2 linked regions of the Nothobranchius furzeri genome follow. The protein of the gene in region 2 purifies or fractionates together with the protein of the main gene of each other region. This does not show direct contact. Links are inferred from orthologs where the notes say so. Each region holds a gene or a part of one and is shown on either strand. Other genes may lie near its edges.

The links.
Region 1: the proteins of drg1 (region 2) and ntmt1 purify together in Homo sapiens (affinity purification with mass spectrometry; 3 studies listed by BioGRID and IntAct, counting the BioPlex papers as one, with this or other methods). This does not show direct contact. The link is inferred for Nothobranchius furzeri from reciprocal best matches to the Homo sapiens genes DRG1 and NTMT1.

The regions. Positions count from the first base shown.
Region 1 is NC_091746.1:70,918,266-70,926,780, forward strand, and holds ntmt1 (N-terminal Xaa-Pro-Lys N-methyltransferase 1), read right to left. Parts: upstream 5,367-8,515; 5' UTR 5,262-5,366; intron 4,269-5,261; 5' UTR 4,262-4,268; coding exon 4,103-4,261; intron 2,392-4,102; coding exon 2,139-2,391; intron 735-2,138; coding exon 478-734; 3' UTR 245-477; downstream 1-244. UniProt on the Homo sapiens protein: Distributive alpha-N-methyltransferase that methylates the N-terminus of target proteins containing the N-terminal motif [Ala/Gly/Pro/Ser]-Pro-Lys when the initiator Met is cleaved.
Region 2 is NC_091746.1:51,120,737-51,129,079, forward strand, and holds the start of drg1 (developmentally-regulated GTP-binding protein 1), read left to right. Parts: upstream 1-3,315; 5' UTR 3,316-3,466; coding exon 3,467-3,505; intron 3,506-5,207; coding exon 5,208-5,331; intron 5,332-5,477; coding exon 5,478-5,653; intron 5,654-5,729; coding exon 5,730-5,799; intron 5,800-6,146; coding exon 6,147-6,316; intron 6,317-6,753; coding exon 6,754-6,884; intron 6,885-7,394; coding exon 7,395-7,562; intron 7,563-7,648; coding exon 7,649-7,771; intron 7,772-8,343. UniProt on the Homo sapiens protein: Catalyzes the conversion of GTP to GDP through hydrolysis of the gamma-phosphate bond in GTP. Appears to have an intrinsic GTPase activity that is stimulated by ZC3H15/DFRP1 binding likely by increasing the affinity for the potassium ions.

The sequences.
Region 1 (8,515 bases), about 20 Mb from region 2:
TGGTTACCATGGTTATGCAGGTTTCCAGCATTGGTTACCATGGTGATGCAGGTTTCCAGCATCGGTTACCATGGTGATGCAGGTTTCCAGCATCAGTTACCATGGTGATGCAGGTTTCCAGCATTGGTTACCATGGTGATGCAGGTTTCCAGCATCGGTTACCATGGTGATGCAGGTTTCCAGCATCAGTTACCATGGTGATGCAGGTTTCCAGCATCAGTTACCATGGTGATGCAGGTTTTCTAGCATCAGTTACCGCTGTGAGTTTGTCTAGGAAGAAGCAGAGATTCTCCTGACCCCAGATCAGCTGATGAGGTTTTTGTCACCAGACAAGACGCTCTGCTTTAACAACAGTCAGCCTCCGTGAAAACGTTTGTGTTCAGGAAAAGTTCACCGGTGCATCGATTCTGGTGCACCGACTGACTCGGGCAGCACCAGGTTCTGAATCACAAACCGCTGGACACAAGGACACCTCCTCTATCTTAGAGCCAACATGTGGACTTGATAGATTTCCTTTGGGAAGTTCATCTGTTGCTCCTCGTGGATGATTCTGAGACCGGCTCTGCCCACCAGGCGCCGGACTATTTCCAGGTCACGACACACGCTGCTGTCCACCTCGTCCGGGACAATTCCTTCATACGACACGTTGTCTTTGATGATGACGAGGCCGTTGGGACGCAGACCCTTTTGACATCGACGCAGGAAATCCACCAGGTGATCGTCTGTCAGGTGACCTGAGGGAGGAAGGACAGTTCAGGAGAGGAACTCAGACTGGAGTTGTTGTTGGAGCGATCTCCAGCCAGAGGAGGGCCTGAGCCCAGAGAGAGGCTATTCTCATTTCCCACCACCCATCGTCAGTCCAAATGGATGATTAATTTGTGCATGTGATGTCATGATGCACGGACACAGAAGAAGCCCAAAACACCGAGTTTATTAAATGGAAGAGCAGCACATGTTTGCTGGAAGAGAAATGTAGAATTTTATTTTTGTTGTGATGGATTAAAGTGTTAAAATGAAACCTCTTGGTTTCCGTGGCATTTTATTTAACCCTCCCACTGTCCTAATGGGTGTGACCCCGCGAGGAACGTTGACCACTGAGCAGGGGTCGGGTCGGGTCTGTCTGCGTCTTCTCCATCCCCAGTGAGTTGTGGTGGATGGCTGCTTATACTGAGCCAGGGTTCTCTGGAGGTTTCTTCCTGTTAAAAGGGAGTTTTCCTCTCCACTGTCGCTGCATGCTTAGTATGATTGCTGTAAACACTCTGACACTAGTCAGTGACTCAATGCAACCTGCTGGGTTCCTTATATAGGAAACTTGTTACTGATTGGCTTAATGACCTGACCTGTGTTGTTTACTGCGTGAAGGTCCTTGAGACGACTCGTCCTGATTTGGTGCTTTATAAATAAACTGAATTGAATGAACGAATCAGGAGCCAGATAACCACGAGCGCTACTTCAGCCAAAGATTTAAATCAGGAAACATTTCTCCAAAGGAAATAACCAGAAGTCCTCCAGAGTCTGAAAGATAGGATTTCCACTCAACACCGCGCTGTTGTGCACGACGTCGAGGGCGTCAGACGCTCCTCCTCAGCGCGCCGCTTGCACGCCCACTGTCAGCAGTGAGAGGCGGAGGAGGTGAGAAAGTGCTCAGATGCACTGATGGAAATCCTTTCTTGATTGTTACCTCTGATATGTTTTCTGTGTGTAAAATGTAAAATATTTGTCATTAACAAACTAACTCACGGGCAAACAAACAAACAAACAAACAAATCACCTCCTGTAAAAAAAAAACGTAACGGCTCAGCCCATCGCCGAAGGTCAAATGATTTGTCCCAACCCTAGTATAAACTAAAATAACTAGATAAGTATTTTAGAGTGAAACAGCAGAGGACATCTCAGCTAGCAGGAGCTAACTGTTAGCATCAGCAACTCCACCACACAGCAGAACTCCTCCAGGCTCATGTTAATAGTGGAGATAAAACATCAACTTTGCAGAAGGAAAACACTAAAAGGAACACCGCGACTTCCTCCATCCACCTGACACAATCCCACCATCACCTTTTCCAGGCGACTGCTTTTACACGTCAGATTTGGACGTAACTGCACACCTCGCTGAACATGCTGATCTTAGATACACTCACCTATGACCCACTGGATCCAGATGACATCATACCGCCCCGTCTCTGGGACGAAGTCCTGCAGTCCACAGCAGAAGTAGTTCTCCACTCTCTTCCCGTCCTCTCCCAGGTACGACCTGGCCTTGTCCAGGAACTCCTTGGTCACGTCCACCAGGTCCACGGTTTGGAACAAAGGCAGCAGCAGCCGTTTGGTGATCCGACCAATACCGGCGCCGCAGTCCAGAGCACAGCCCGACCCGGTCTTCCCTTCGCCTTCCTTTGGAAGACAGAACAGAGTCCAGCAGGGAACAAGGCTGAGACACAAATCAGGGAAAAACTCCAGCAACGTCCAGCATCCCAAAACAACCGACTGGTTCGTTTATTTACGGACTCGGTGCTGAAGACCGTTATTCCTGTAGGAAAACACAACTACAGAACCTCAGGGTCCAAGAGCACAGCTAGAACCAGGGGGCGGGGCTTACTGTCACTGGTAGAGTTGGGTTTTTGTTTCTGGATGTTAACTCCAGAATGATGTGAAACGACGCTGAACTGACGGCGTTTGAAAACTAAATAAATGTTATTAAGCGTAAAACCCAAATCTAAAGCCCCTTTTATCATTTCCTGTGTAAATAAACACATTTATGTGGCTTAACTTGTTTATTTGATCGTGTCAGAAACACCATGTTTACATGTTAAAGGTGCAGTATGTAAGAATATAGTGAAGGGAAGGTTCTACTGAAACATGTTTCATATCCAGCTGCTGGGTTGCCATAGTTTCTCCTTTCAAAACAAAGGCAGGAGGGACGTAACGACTGTTACCATCAGTGTGGGCGGGGCGTGTCTCCTGAGAGCCAATACTGCAGCGCCCACTATTGTAATTTGACGACGGTGGGCAAAATTCTCGAGTTTTTTAAAGCGGTTGCGGTTAGGACTGCAAGGATTAACCGTTTGACTATTAACCACGGTGTGAGACGCTGCGATTAACCCACCGTGAAGACGTCTCCAACACTGCTGACAGAATAAACAAATGAGTGGACCAAAGCAACAGTGAAAGTGAACACACGCAGCAGAACCAGCACCTACCGGGACTGCTCCGTGTTCATGAGGGGGAGGACCCAGCCTTACTTGGATGTCTCATGTCTTAAATATTCTGGAAGTTGTGCAAATTCAGGGATGGGAGTAGATATTCTGCTGGGGTGGGGCTGGGTCAGTGACCTCGGGCTCCGTGGGGCCCTGGCGAGATGGGCTGGGGTCTCCCAATGCCCCGGGTGGCATTTTGGGAACGGAGGTGCCTATTGGGGTCGGTGGGGGAGCTGGCTCCTTGGAGGGCTTACGGCCCCCCAGCCATTCATCCCCATCCCCAAACATTTTCCTCCTACTGCTCCCTCACATCACCACACAAACATGCACATGGGACCTTGAGGGGTGGGGAAATTAGGGGGTGCGGGTATGGATCCCATTTCCACAGTTCTGTGGCAACCTGCCCCCCAAGTTTATTTGCACATTAAACACTTCCACCGACGCAAACACACACTTAGGGCCTTGGGAGTGAGCACACTCAATGGCATTCGGCAGGGGGATCCTTCAGCCTCACCCCGAGTGCCGGTGCCCACTTCCAATTTTAAACTGCACTTAGACACAGAGGGGTGTGGGGGTGGAGTGGGACTGTGTGGTGGCATCAGCTGGTGTAGACCAGAAGACACCTGCACTGGGTCCAGGGGCACTGGGTCCTGGGCTCGGCCAGCTTGGGGGAGGGAGGCTGCAGGCGGGCCTGTGGGCTTGCCGCGGTTATCTCCCGGGACTCTGCTGTTTAATGTATTTATTACACTTACACCACATACAATATTACCAGTAATTATTTCTTGTCCTGAGAAAAATCATATCAAGCTAAATTAGTGATGTATCCTTATCTCATGCATTCTCTAGTCAGGACGTGATTTTTTTATTTCATTACTACTACTTGTCCGAACTCAGGCTGAGTGCCTTACTCTGATGAACTTCTTCAGGAAAGCCTTGGACCCGTTGATGTCTATGTTGGAAATGCTGCCGTAACCTCCCAGCATCCCGTCCACTGTGGGAGGAACCTCCTTCCAGTAGTCCTCAGCATTGGAGTAAAAGCTGGTCTCATCCTCCACGATGTCCCCCATCCTGTCCCTGTCCACAAAAAGAAATATTAGCTGCCATACGTAACAGTTATGAGTTTATGAAATCCACTCAGATGAGGGAGAGGTCAGATGGAAAAGAGGGATTATCCAGTTCAAAGCCAAGAGGAATCACCATCACTGGCTGACCAATATACTAAATTTTGTCTATCGGCCATCGACTGAAATTATTTTAAAAAGCCGATAATTTTTTTTTTTTTTTTAATCAGGCACGTGTGTGGGCAACTGCCACCACTACTAGACTGAAGAAAAGACCCGGAGGACCTCAACACACGTTTTTTTAACAGCTTTGAGTTTGTTTTATATTTAAAGTTCAATAAATATCAAGAGATTTATTGACTTATTTATATTTATTATTTATATTGCACACATTTAGTGTTCAGTTGTCTTTCACAATCAATGTGCTGCTAAAACGCGTACACACACACACACACACACACATATATATATATACACATATATATATATATGTATATATATACACATATATATATATATGTATATATATATATATATATATATATATATATATATATATATATATATATATATATATATATATATATAAATTCATTCTGGGACCAGGTCAGAGGATTCAGCTGCAGCACCAACCGAACCACCTGTTCGAGCCGGTTTTAAATGACTCGTTGATGTAGTCAGATTAAAGCTAATAATAACACTTTAGTGCTTTAGAGAAGAACACGAGCTCAGCATGTCGGACCCAGCTTGCTGTTTTAAACTCAGTTTAACAACAAAACACAACTATATTTATAAAGATAACGCATTTCTAATATAAAATACTAACTTATGAACCAAACAAATAAAGTCTAACTACTGCTAGCTAAAGGAGCATAGCAGGTACTTCTGGTTCGTTACAGAGTTTTAGACCTATTAGCTGTTAACCCCCGTTAGCTTCCCTCTCCGCGGGTAAACAAAGACTCCGACTCCCAACTTCATTAAAGTGATGATAAACCATTTAACCTACCTGGTGTGTGTCTGCAGGACTTATCCTGACCTCGTCGGCAGCTTTTACTCACTTTTCTATTTGAGGAACTCGAGCAGGACGTCATTTCCTTATTTGGTTTTAACATGAAGACGTGGCAGCAGCGCCCCCTGCCGGAAACAATTAACATTATTATTCCAGTAGAAACAGAGCAGAATGCGTGTTTGGGTGTTTATTATTATTATTGGTTGATTATTTCTCAGCTGTAACGATGCTTGTGACTAATAAATATGATTAGTTAGATATCATATATTAATAATTATGATATCTATGGTTAGTTACCTCCACAGGTAGAACTCGTGAATTTTCCTCCATGGAATGAACAACAGAGAAAGACGTGTGGGTAGCAACCAGCGGTGTCCCGGCAATATTCACTCTTTCTCTGAGCTGCTTGGCAGATTAGAAGATTGAACGTTCCCACATTAATTAAGACAAACGTATCCACCATCCATCCATCCATCCATCCATCCATCCTTCCTTTGAGGTAACAGGCCCTCCTGGACCATCCCAGTGTGTTCCCAGACCCTCACGTGAGTTTTGAGCTTTTCCAGTGGCTGGGAAGCCTAACGGTCAAGTCATTTCATTCTGGCCTCCATCTACTGGATTCTGGACCCTTTTAGGATTTAGACCTGGCTGATTCCTCAGACACGCTTTTGACAGCCGACGGCTGTGATGTCTCTGCTGGTTTTTACGTCCATTTCATTCTTTTCTTTAAGGTATTCAGAGATTTTTAGGTCATCCTTTTAGCCTGTGTTTTATTATTTTAATCAGAGCTCTGAACATCTGGTTCATTAACACCACCCGTGTAACCATGGTAACCATGTGGCTTAAATGTAATATACAATTAAAATGGGTTAAAACAACAATGCAGCAGTTTTTAGTTAATTGGACTTGTTGGAGCAGCGTCACTGATCTCTTCCGACTGAGGAACAGCGCTGCTCACAGGTGCAGATCTACCGAATAACCACTTGAGGGCAGTGTGGAGCTATGAACTTTCATCTTGTTTCCTGATTTTTTCTGTCATGTTTTTTGTGTAAGTATTCATCCTGCTGATTTATCACCACATCTTCTTTCCACAAAGGTTTCTGCACCAGAATAATCGCCTAGTTCCTGCGTGTCTTGTTTTTGTCTGAGAGAATCAAACTCCGAACATCAGACATTAATCACATCCAGACCCTCAGTCCCAGAATCCTGAGCATCCCAGCATCAAGCAGCAGAAGGTAGCATGAAGTCCTGCCGCCACTAGTGAGAGGAGCTCCAGTGCAAAAATACAAACAATAAAGTTATAAATAATCCTTCACAGTGAATTCGGCTCAGCTTGACGGTTCGGTGCTAGATATCAGCTTCTTCCTGCTCTGAAGGAGAGACCAAGAAGTTCAGTGAGAGGATCAAACGCATCAGCAGCGTTCTTCAGGCAGACAAGAAACCATGCATGAACTAAGGTGATTTATAGCTGAGAACAAACATCTAATGCCTGTTTCAGCCCATGTTCCTCAGCTGGAGACAACTCTTCAGATCAGGCTGATTATCGATCCGTGAGGTTGAATCGTTCTCCTGGTGTTTCCACAACTCTGGAGGCTCGATTCAGCAGGAAACACTCTAGTAGCTGATCCTTCCGGTTCATGAGCCCAAAAACGCTTCCTTCAGGGTCGTTTCATATTTCTATGTAATCAGAGTCATCAGTGGATTTACTCACAAATGTCAATAAAAGCTGTTCTTGTCCCAGAGACCTTTCCGTGGTTGAAGGACTCGCTCGCACCCCCAGCTCCATCAGGCTCCTGTTGGTGATGTTTATTGTATGCATGTAAACAACAGAATTCCAGGTAAATAATCAATATTGTCAAAGTAACGTCAGTGTAAAGGTCACTCTGTGAAAGGAAGAGGATCAGAGCTGAGTTAGGATGACAGAAACACACTCAGACTAGCTGTTAGCACGTCAGTCCTGACCTCAGGAAGTTTTCTGCAGCACTTATGTAATTTACACAGAAACACAGAGGGGCTGGACTGTCCCTTCAATGTGAAACCTCTTCTTCTAGCCTGTTCTTCCAGCTCAAACTCAGCTGAATTGAAACTGCTGCGAGGCACGGTGGGGGACGTGTTATGGTTTGGGCTTTTCTTCATGTTTCGAGCAGCATTTCTTGTTTAAGCGGATATAATAAAGAGCTGATAATGGAGCTAAAACTCACAGGACATGTTTCAGTTCTGCTTCAGACCCGTAAGGAGGCACCGTCGCTCCTGAACATGCTCAGGCCGTGTCCTCTGTAGCGTCTTTGGGAATCTGAAGGTCTTAAAGACCGGTGAAGGAGCCAGGAATTAGAGGGAATAAACTCGGAGATGCCTCTGGAAAGAAAAAAAACTGTTATTTATCTTACTGCTCATTATTTTATAACTTAAGGGCGAAACGTTCAGGGCAGCGGGCCGATGGAACAGGAGCTGCTTACGAAGGAGAAGGAGTTCTCTGGACTGTGTAAGACCCATAGGGTGGGGGTTGTGTGGTTTAAATACCATCCGTCCATTTTATTAACGCAGGATTGATTTAAGCAGCTTCAGCCTCAGAGGGCAAGTGGAGACAGTTTGTGTGTGTGTGTGTGGGGGGGGGGGGGGGGGTTTCACGGGTTTAGAACAACAGGAGGTTCTGGTTCTGCTCTGAGGCTCGGTTCTGTCCAAGCGTTACTCAGAAAGGCTCATATTTGACTCCAGAAGCCATTAGTGTGCTGCTGGGTCAGAACCGACCCAAACCATCAAACCTCCACCACTGTGCTGACAGCTGGGATCCGCTGCTATGGGTGAACAGAAGTCTTTCTTTCAAAGAGCTTTTCTCCTGCTAACCCTGACCTTTGACCTTTAAACTGTAGAGTCTGAGACGGAGCCGGACCTGCTGGGACATCCTCTCCGACTGACCCAAATGTTATGTTGGAGTCCAGACAGTTAGGAAATGACCTTTGACCTTTCCAAGTGGACTCTCATTGACAGTTGTTTGGGGTCAAGTCACATGACTTGTCCTTCTGTCACGTGACTTGAGCTTGAGCCCATTGGTATTCTTGAGCCAGCTGGCCTGGGAACATTTGAAATGTAACTGCAGCTGTAACTGTAACTGGAGGTGTGTGTGTGTGTGTGTGTGTGTGTGTGTGTGTGTGTGTGTGTGTGTGTGTGTGTGTGTGTGTGTGTGAGGGGGTGGGGGGGTCAGGTAAAAAATGGTCATAGTTATCCTGCCGTGTGAACCGGCCTTGGTTAAC
Region 2 (8,343 bases):
TGTGTGTGTGTGTGTGTGTGTGTGTGTGTGTGTGTGTGTGTGTGTGTGTGTGTGTGTGTGTGTGTGTGTGTGTGTGTGTGTGTGTGTGTGTGCCTGCTCTTTCTTCTTGATCCCCAGAATGGCTGCTTATGAGTCAGGAACCTCTGGAGGTTTCTTCCTGTGGAGTTTTCCTCTCCACTGTCGCTGTATGCTTGCTTAGTATGCAGAGTGCTGCAAAGACACTGACACCAGTCAGTGACTCAATGCAACCTGCTGGATTCCTTACAGGAAACTTTTTCTGATAGGCTTAATGAACTGGGGCCTCATTTATAAAGCTTTCTTACGGACAAAACGGGGACGGAAAATTGTGTAAGCAGCTTTCCACGCTAACTTTGGGATTTATAAAAGAAAACTTAGCGGAAAAATGTGCGCAACTTTAAGTTGACTAAGAACCTTGCTTACGCACATTTTGGACATGGAGAGCACCTGCAGTGCTGCTGCTGAGAAGGATAAAATTATGAATTCCAGCAGCATTACCACTTGTACTGCTTCGTGCGCACACAGAACGAGTCCCCCCACACGCGCACACACACCCGCGCACGGACACAAAATGCTGCAGCAAGCCGGCTTATGTATATGCATGAGATTCACAAGGCATTTTGCACTGGCCATTTATGGCAGAAAGTGGGTGTGTTGAGGGCGGGATGTGACTAAAAAGCAGCTGAGAACCTCTCTCGTAAGTCTGATTTATAAAGCAGAGATTGCCGTCAGCTGCATGTTTTATACGTCACAAACCTACTTGGCGTAAGTACATTTTTTTTGCTGAGCTTAAGTACGGTTTTAGTAAGGATTCTACGCAATGTTTTATAAATGAGACCCTAGAACTGTATTAGAATGTTTACTTTGCGAAGTACCTTCAGACGACTCTTGTCACGCTATATTACAGTTTTTCTCCATTGGTTTGGCTCATTTCTTGAAACAGAAATTACATTCTCAAAATAATATGGACAAACCTCCAAACCTCTTGGAGGTGGCATTTCTGATGGCATTTCTCATTCATTTTATCAAATGGCAAATGCCTTAGTACATGTCTCAATTGTCTCAGTGCATCTTTGCAAACGATTAAGTACATGTAGCCTACAGTTATACAGTTAGCCCACATTTAGCATTTTCCAAATAAATAGATCTTGTAGATCTAAACCGATTAGTTGATTCTCAGTCTAATGATCATTCTCTCCAAAACATGTCAGCATGATTACATTGTATAAGTACTCGCATGCACAACTGTCTGTTCAATTGTCAGAATTGGTTAAGAATATAATACCATGAATACCGTTTATGAATTTCTTTGAATATTTGATACATTGATGACAGTCATTGACATCGACATATAAATATTGGACAATGGGTTTCCATAGACTCCAATAATAAGTTTTTGAGCTAAAATGGGAGGTAGCCACCACCGCCATTTTGACCGTGTCAAGGTTCCTTCAAGCCCAGACAATTCCACAAAAGGAAAGAGAGGTGGAGCTGAGGGTGGGGCTGTAAGGCTGGGATCAACTGACGACACCCGGTCGAACTAGCTACAAGCTAACCTGAAGCTAACCCAAAGCTAACGCGGAGGTGGGAGCTAAGCTAACGGAGGTAACAACCTAGTTACAACCGGAGTTAACTGTGCACAACAACAGAGCTTCTGAGTCAGAGATACGCCGGGCTGACCGCTGGGTAAAACCGGGTGGAACACAGAGGTCTCCCGAGAGCTCCACAAGCCAGCAGCCGCACAGCAGACAAGCGCCGCTGCGATCTGAGATGCGCAGGGCTGCCGCTGGGGAGAACCGGGAGGAAAGGTTTCCATCCCAGAGCTCCACAAGCTGGCAGCCCGCGCAGCAGACAGAAGCCGCGATCAGACAGAGATGCGCCGAGCTGCGGGGAGGGAAGAACCGGGTGGAAAACATCGGTCTCCCGAGAGCTCCACAAGCCGATTGTCGGAACCCAGCTCCACCAACATGTTATATTTCAACCCATTTTCTAAAGTGCAGCATTATGTTAAATGCACTGGGTTTTACCCTATTACATTTAAATTTCATGGTTAATCACTACATGTTAAAATCTAAGCTCAGCTCGGCAGTGACCTAAAATACATAAATATAATTTTACTTACCGAAAAAAATGAAGTGGAGACTCCTTGGACGCTCTATTAGTGCAATTAATACCACAGCAAGTCTTTTTGTCCAACAATTGCACAAAAAATATCCAAAAAAGAATGTACAAACACAGAGACTCAAAATCCTGGAACAGTTTCCAAGCCAGACCGAGGCTCTACTGAGAGCTAGCTCTATGACTTTGAACGTCAGTTGAGAGTCAGTCTCATGCCAGACTGACCAGTGAAGAGAGGGCCTCAAGTTAAGACCCTCTCCTCATTGGTCAGTCCACACAAGGTGGGTCAAAGGTTACCCTGAGCAGGTTACATGATGTCAGGCATTCAAGTATTGAGTATATTTACTGCATATTACAGTAAAATATTCTGTATGTGACCATATTATGGTGATCCTTGGGTCATGATGATGGGGCCCTTGAATATTGTTGCCCAGGGTACAACAAAGTGTTAATCTGGCCCTGCTCCTGCCACCAACAGAGCAGCTGTTTTGGGGAGTTTGCAAAGAAAATGTGAACTTATCGCTATCATAATCATTCTGTCCTGTTTTGCAAAATACTGCGTGCTTTTTGTTTCTTTTACTTACAAAACTGAAACACAACTGTGAAATTATTTATCACACTGTTGGACATACTTTATATCTCTTGGCTCTCAAGCATTGATGCAATCTTATTAAAGCAGAGTAAATAGGATAAACATGTATGCCTTACCTTGGTGTGAAATATAATAAAACTGCCCTTTTTCACCCAGGTTGCAGGTCTGTTTCTCTTCTAGAGTAATGAAAACTGCTGAAAAAAAGTCTAAATCATAATCAGCTTTGAATTCAATTTCGATATACATTTAATCAGATGATGAGAGATGTGTTCTAACTTGTAAACAACAATATTTATTATAAGCTCACATTTGACGTTTTTTATGTAATTTTATAAAAGAAAATGAAGCTGGTATGTTGCAAAATAGGACAGAATGGTTATTGTAGCGCTAAATTCATATTTTCTTTTTTAAAACTCCTCAAGACCTAGGCTGTAACCCTGTAGCGAGGAAAGACGGTTCCTCTTACATTAAATAGCCAATCGCAACAGAGCCCATCCAGCTAATCAGAGGCGAGAAAAGCGGGACGTCATACGATTCCAAATGACGTTTACGGCGAGGCTACGTAGGGAAGGTCTTCGATCTCGCGAGACTTTCCGTGAATTGGCGTAGCCGCGTTTGTGTGGTGTGTGTTACTGTACACGCTAACTAAACCTAACCACCTAAACTTTGTCATATTTGTCGGTAAACCTCTCCGGTATACATAGTTAAGGTGAAGTGGTCTTTAGAATCAACGTAACCATGAGTGTGCTTGCCAAAATAGCAGAGATAGAAAATGAGGTAAGGCGAAAGTTGACGCTTTAAACCCTTCGAGTCTGTCACGTTTAGTTCACATAGCTACTGCTAGTCGCTAACGCTATCTCATAAAAGAAGATCCATTTTAACCTATATTTGACTGGCCCCGCATCCCTGACAGTTTAAGCTGTTAAAAAAAGAAAATGTATTTCAGTGTTCAGTTTAGTTGTCACTTATAGATGAATAAAGAGATTAATGTCAGTTCACAGATGTTGGCAACGCATATGCTAAACCGGTTCTAGCTTAGATTTGAATAACTGATTAATTTAATCTGTTAATTGCTTTAATATTATCGTTATTAACTGACAGATGCGCTGAGTTGACAATATCGAAATGCACTGACGCGAAAACGGCACCGGACCAAATTTTTGTTTTTAAGCCACTCTGAGCGTACAGGCATCAAATATAATTCAGATACGTGTAATAAATGGTTGTTTGTTGGTAATCTGTTATAAAAGTACAAATTGTCTCCAGTTCTTTAGAGTGCTACAAAATATAAAAGCAGAGTTAGAATTAGGGGTAGACCAATATATATAGGCCGATATTAACGGTTTTTTATACATCAGTGTTATTTGTCTTTCAGAAAGCCAATTTAAAGTCAGGCACATCCTCAGGCAGCCCGGTGCTGTTATAGAATTTAATCTAAATGTATTTTTGCATTCACTAATAAAATCTGCATAATAAATACTCTAACTTTATATAGTTGCCTCACAGTGCACAAAGTTAACAGTTATGGGCCATTCCCATCTGTACCGGGTCGGCCCGGGCCGGGTAGCGTAGGTTGTTTACATATCTGGGTGGTCTGGTATTTTTCTGGGCCAAACAAGGCTCATTCTCAGCCCTCTTCTCAAGGGGGTCTGCTTCAGGCCGACCAGGGCCAACACACCCACTGCTGACAGCAAATTCACACCTTCCATTAGAGCAAGCCTCTGATTGGTGGGTAGAATCAGCCCACATGGGCTTAAGACAAGAATGTGTGGAATCAACCAGGCCAGGCTGGGGCCGACTGGGGCTACCCGGCCCGGGCCAACCCGGTACAGATGGGAATGGCCCATTATTCGTTAAATTTAGAGATCAAAAACTGCTTCAGAAATTTTGTGCATCAACCGTTATTAGTGACAGTTAAGCATGAAAATCAGGTGGAAAATGTCTAGATATTGGCTATTTGAAATCGGGCCATAAATATTGGCAATACATATTGGACATTGGCTGAACTTGTCTCCTACATTTCGGCAATAGAAAAACAAATATCAGTAAATAAAGATTATTACAAGAAAATCAGCTTCCTAGGAAGCAAACCTGAAGAAGTTATGCGTGGTTTAAATGTTTTGAACAATGCTACTACTGTATTATTAAATAAACTTTTTCGAATAATCTAAATAAGTTGGTGTAATGAAATAGATATCCATCTTTCCATCAAAACTAATATTTTTTCTGCAATATCTGTATGCTGTGTGTAAAGTCAGATAGAACACAGATATGTATGACCTCCTATAATTATACTGAGCTCATATTAGGCACCCATCCAGTCTTCTTAAAGTTTCCTTTTAATTTTGAGCAAGCCATGAATCAAAATTTAGACATTTCAAGTAATTAGCTTCTGTTAAAGTTCTACTTTGAAAGCAATAAAACGGTCCAGCTAAATGTTTTACTTCTTATTTCATCATGCACTCTGGTGTTACTGTAGATGGCCAGGACACAGAAGAACAAGGCCACAGCTCACCACTTGGGTCTGCTCAAAGCACGTCTAGCTAAGCTGAGGAGGGAGCTCATCACACCAAAAGGCGGGAGTGGTGGTGGACCTGGAGAAGGTAGTCTTACTATATTGTGTATTTAATTCACAAATAGCTCCAATTCAGGAATTGTTTCTGAGGTTTCTCTCCCATGAGGCATTTAAATTTATGTCTGTTTTTATCCATAATTACAGAAATTCAGGTTTTTATTCTCTCACATACAGGTTTTGATGTGGCAAAAACCGGCGATGCTCGAGTTGGTTTTGTTGGCTTTCCTTCAGTAGGAAAGTCCACCCTGCTGAGTAACCTAGCAGGTGTGTACTCTGAGGTTGCAGCATACGAGTTCACAACGCTTACAACAGTTCCTGGGGTCATTCGGTATAAAGGTGCCAAAATTCAGGTACAGGAAAATGTCTTCCAGTCCTGAGATATTAAAGTGGTGTTTCATTGGGTTGAGATTTATTTTTTCTTTATAGCTCCTGGATCTTCCAGGAATCATCGAAGGAGCCAAGGACGGCAAGGGTAGAGGCAGGCAGGTCATTGCAGGTAGAGTTTTATTAGATTTCTGCTAAAGCAAAAAGAAAGCCACTGATGTTATAATTTTGGAATTTAACTGAAATCAGAAATTAACTTTGAATAAAAGGTTTTTTTTATGAATTGCTGTCAACTAGACCTAACTTGTGTGTTTATAACCTAAAACACGATGACTTATTGTAAATGTTTTATTTATAACTGTTTCATGTTCTTAGAGGCCTTAGCAGGGTTTCTGCAACTATCTAGCTCCTAAAATAGCAAACAATTGTGCAGACATGGCAAGCTTTATTCTCTTGCATCATTCCAACTGTATCTAATAAAACAGAATGTTATCTTTCCTCTTTCTGTTTTATTCTCAGTGGCTCGAACCTGCAATCTAATCCTGATAGTGCTGGATGTGTTAAAGCCTCTTCTTCATAAGAAGCTAATAGAACATGAGCTGGAGGGCTTTGGCATCCGACTTAACAAACAGCCTCCCAACATCGGGTTCAAAAAGAAGGACAAAGGAGGCATTAACTTCACCGCTACAGTACGTGATGCTTGGCACAACGGCGCAGGGATGAAGGGCTCATTTTCATCGTAATCCGCAACAGAAACGAATAAATACTTTCTTACATGTTTTAATTTATAATAATAATTTTGAATGATCAAAACAAAAATGTGGTTCGTCTAGATTAATGTAACAGAACAGAAGAAATTATTCATCAGACTGTTGACAGGTAACTGGGGCATGTAACCTTACATGTCTAGTAAAGTGCAGCTTTGTCAGTGGTTTATAGGGAGATAACAGCTCTACAGCTATTGTACAGTTAATAAGAAATGTGGTTTGATTGCATGATGCTGTTTCTTCATGCTGCTTTTGGGCCAGTGTGTACATTTGCTAGATTTATTCACCTTTAGCATTTTCGTCATGCCTTTTTCTCTGCTTCACATTTTCCCTTTCATCATCTCTCCGTGTCCTATTAGTGTGCTCAAAGTGAGCTGGATGGTGATACAGTTAAGACCATCTTGGCCGAGTACAAGATCCACAACGCCGACATCACCCTGCGCAGTGATGTCACAGCTGATGACCTGATTGATGTGGTGGAGGGAAACCGGTAAGCTGTCGTTCCCTGCGGGTGTGGCCTGTTGGAGTCTGAAATTGCACATGGGTTCCTTCTGCACCACTGCAGATGCATTCAATACAGCGTTTGGTGTTTTAAACAGTCTTGCTCATTGAAAAATTATGCAAGTTAATGTAAAACACAGCAATGAAATGTTGAATGAGAACTTTTTACTAGATATAACCACAAAACCTGAAAGTGCATCATTTTATTTTAAAGATGCCGTTCATGGACTGATCTTAACGTGTCCGCAGGGAATTAAAACATTTATGCTGCTTCTCTTTATTTTTGAAATTTTAATTGTTTGCCATCCAAACTCAATTCATACCAGTGAGAGACTAGATGCTTTTGCAAGAAAAAAGCACCTCAGGTGAATTGAAAATGTCTTTAGTGACTTCTAGAATGCCTAGGATCCCTTTAATGAAGTTGATGTAATTATCACCTATAGTGAAATGGGTAAAACAGGCAAAATTGATGATCACTGACTTTGTCAACTCCCAACAGAGTTTACATCCCGTGCATCTATGTGCTCAATAAAATCGACCAGATCTCCATCGAGGAGCTTGACATCATCTACAAAGTTCCCCACACTGTGCCCATCTCAGCCCACCACCGCTGGAACTTTGATGACCTGCTGGAGCGGATGTGGGACTATCTACAGCTTGTGCGCATGTGAGATTAAAGGGCTAAAAGGCATATACAGATTAAAAAACATGATTACTCATACTGTAACACCTGAGGTGTTGTGTTTATTGCAGCTACACCAAACCCAAAGGCCAGCTGCCTGATTACACGTCTCCTGTTGTACTCCCGAATGGACGGACTTCAGTGGAGGATTTCTGCTTGAAAATTCACAAAAATCTCATCAAGGAATTAAAGTAGTGAGTACTGTAGACCTTACAACATTATAATTTGTAATTTGCTTTGCCTTTAAGAAGACTTGCGAACAGGAGACGTGGGCTGCAGAACAGTTTTAGCAGACATCAATTCTTCAGCCTAGTTTATGCTTCAGCTCCATGTGGAAGAGACGCACACATTGACGGAGATGTTTTGCCTTCGGACTTCTCCTTCTCTTGGGGAGTGTAGCAAAGCAGTTCCCTGCCAGGACAACAGAGGGCGTAGCGCTTTTCTGAGGCATCCTGGCATGTATCCGATAGTGCATTTACTGTTGTTTTTTGTATTTCAGAGACTTTAACACAGACAAATTTGTCCTTCATTCTCCTCCACCTCTTCATGTCCCTGCCACCTGTAAACTCGTGTGTCCATCCACAAATATAAGCGCTTGCTGCTTATGTTAATACTCCTCCTGTGACAGACGTATAAAACCTTCATGTTTTTAGAGTTTTTCCACGAGGTATTCTTCAAGCTGCTCCATTTGCTACTAGATATTGTTGGCTCTCTTTAGTGCTGTTGACAAATTTAATAGAAGCAGCGTCCTGACCAATCACAAGCT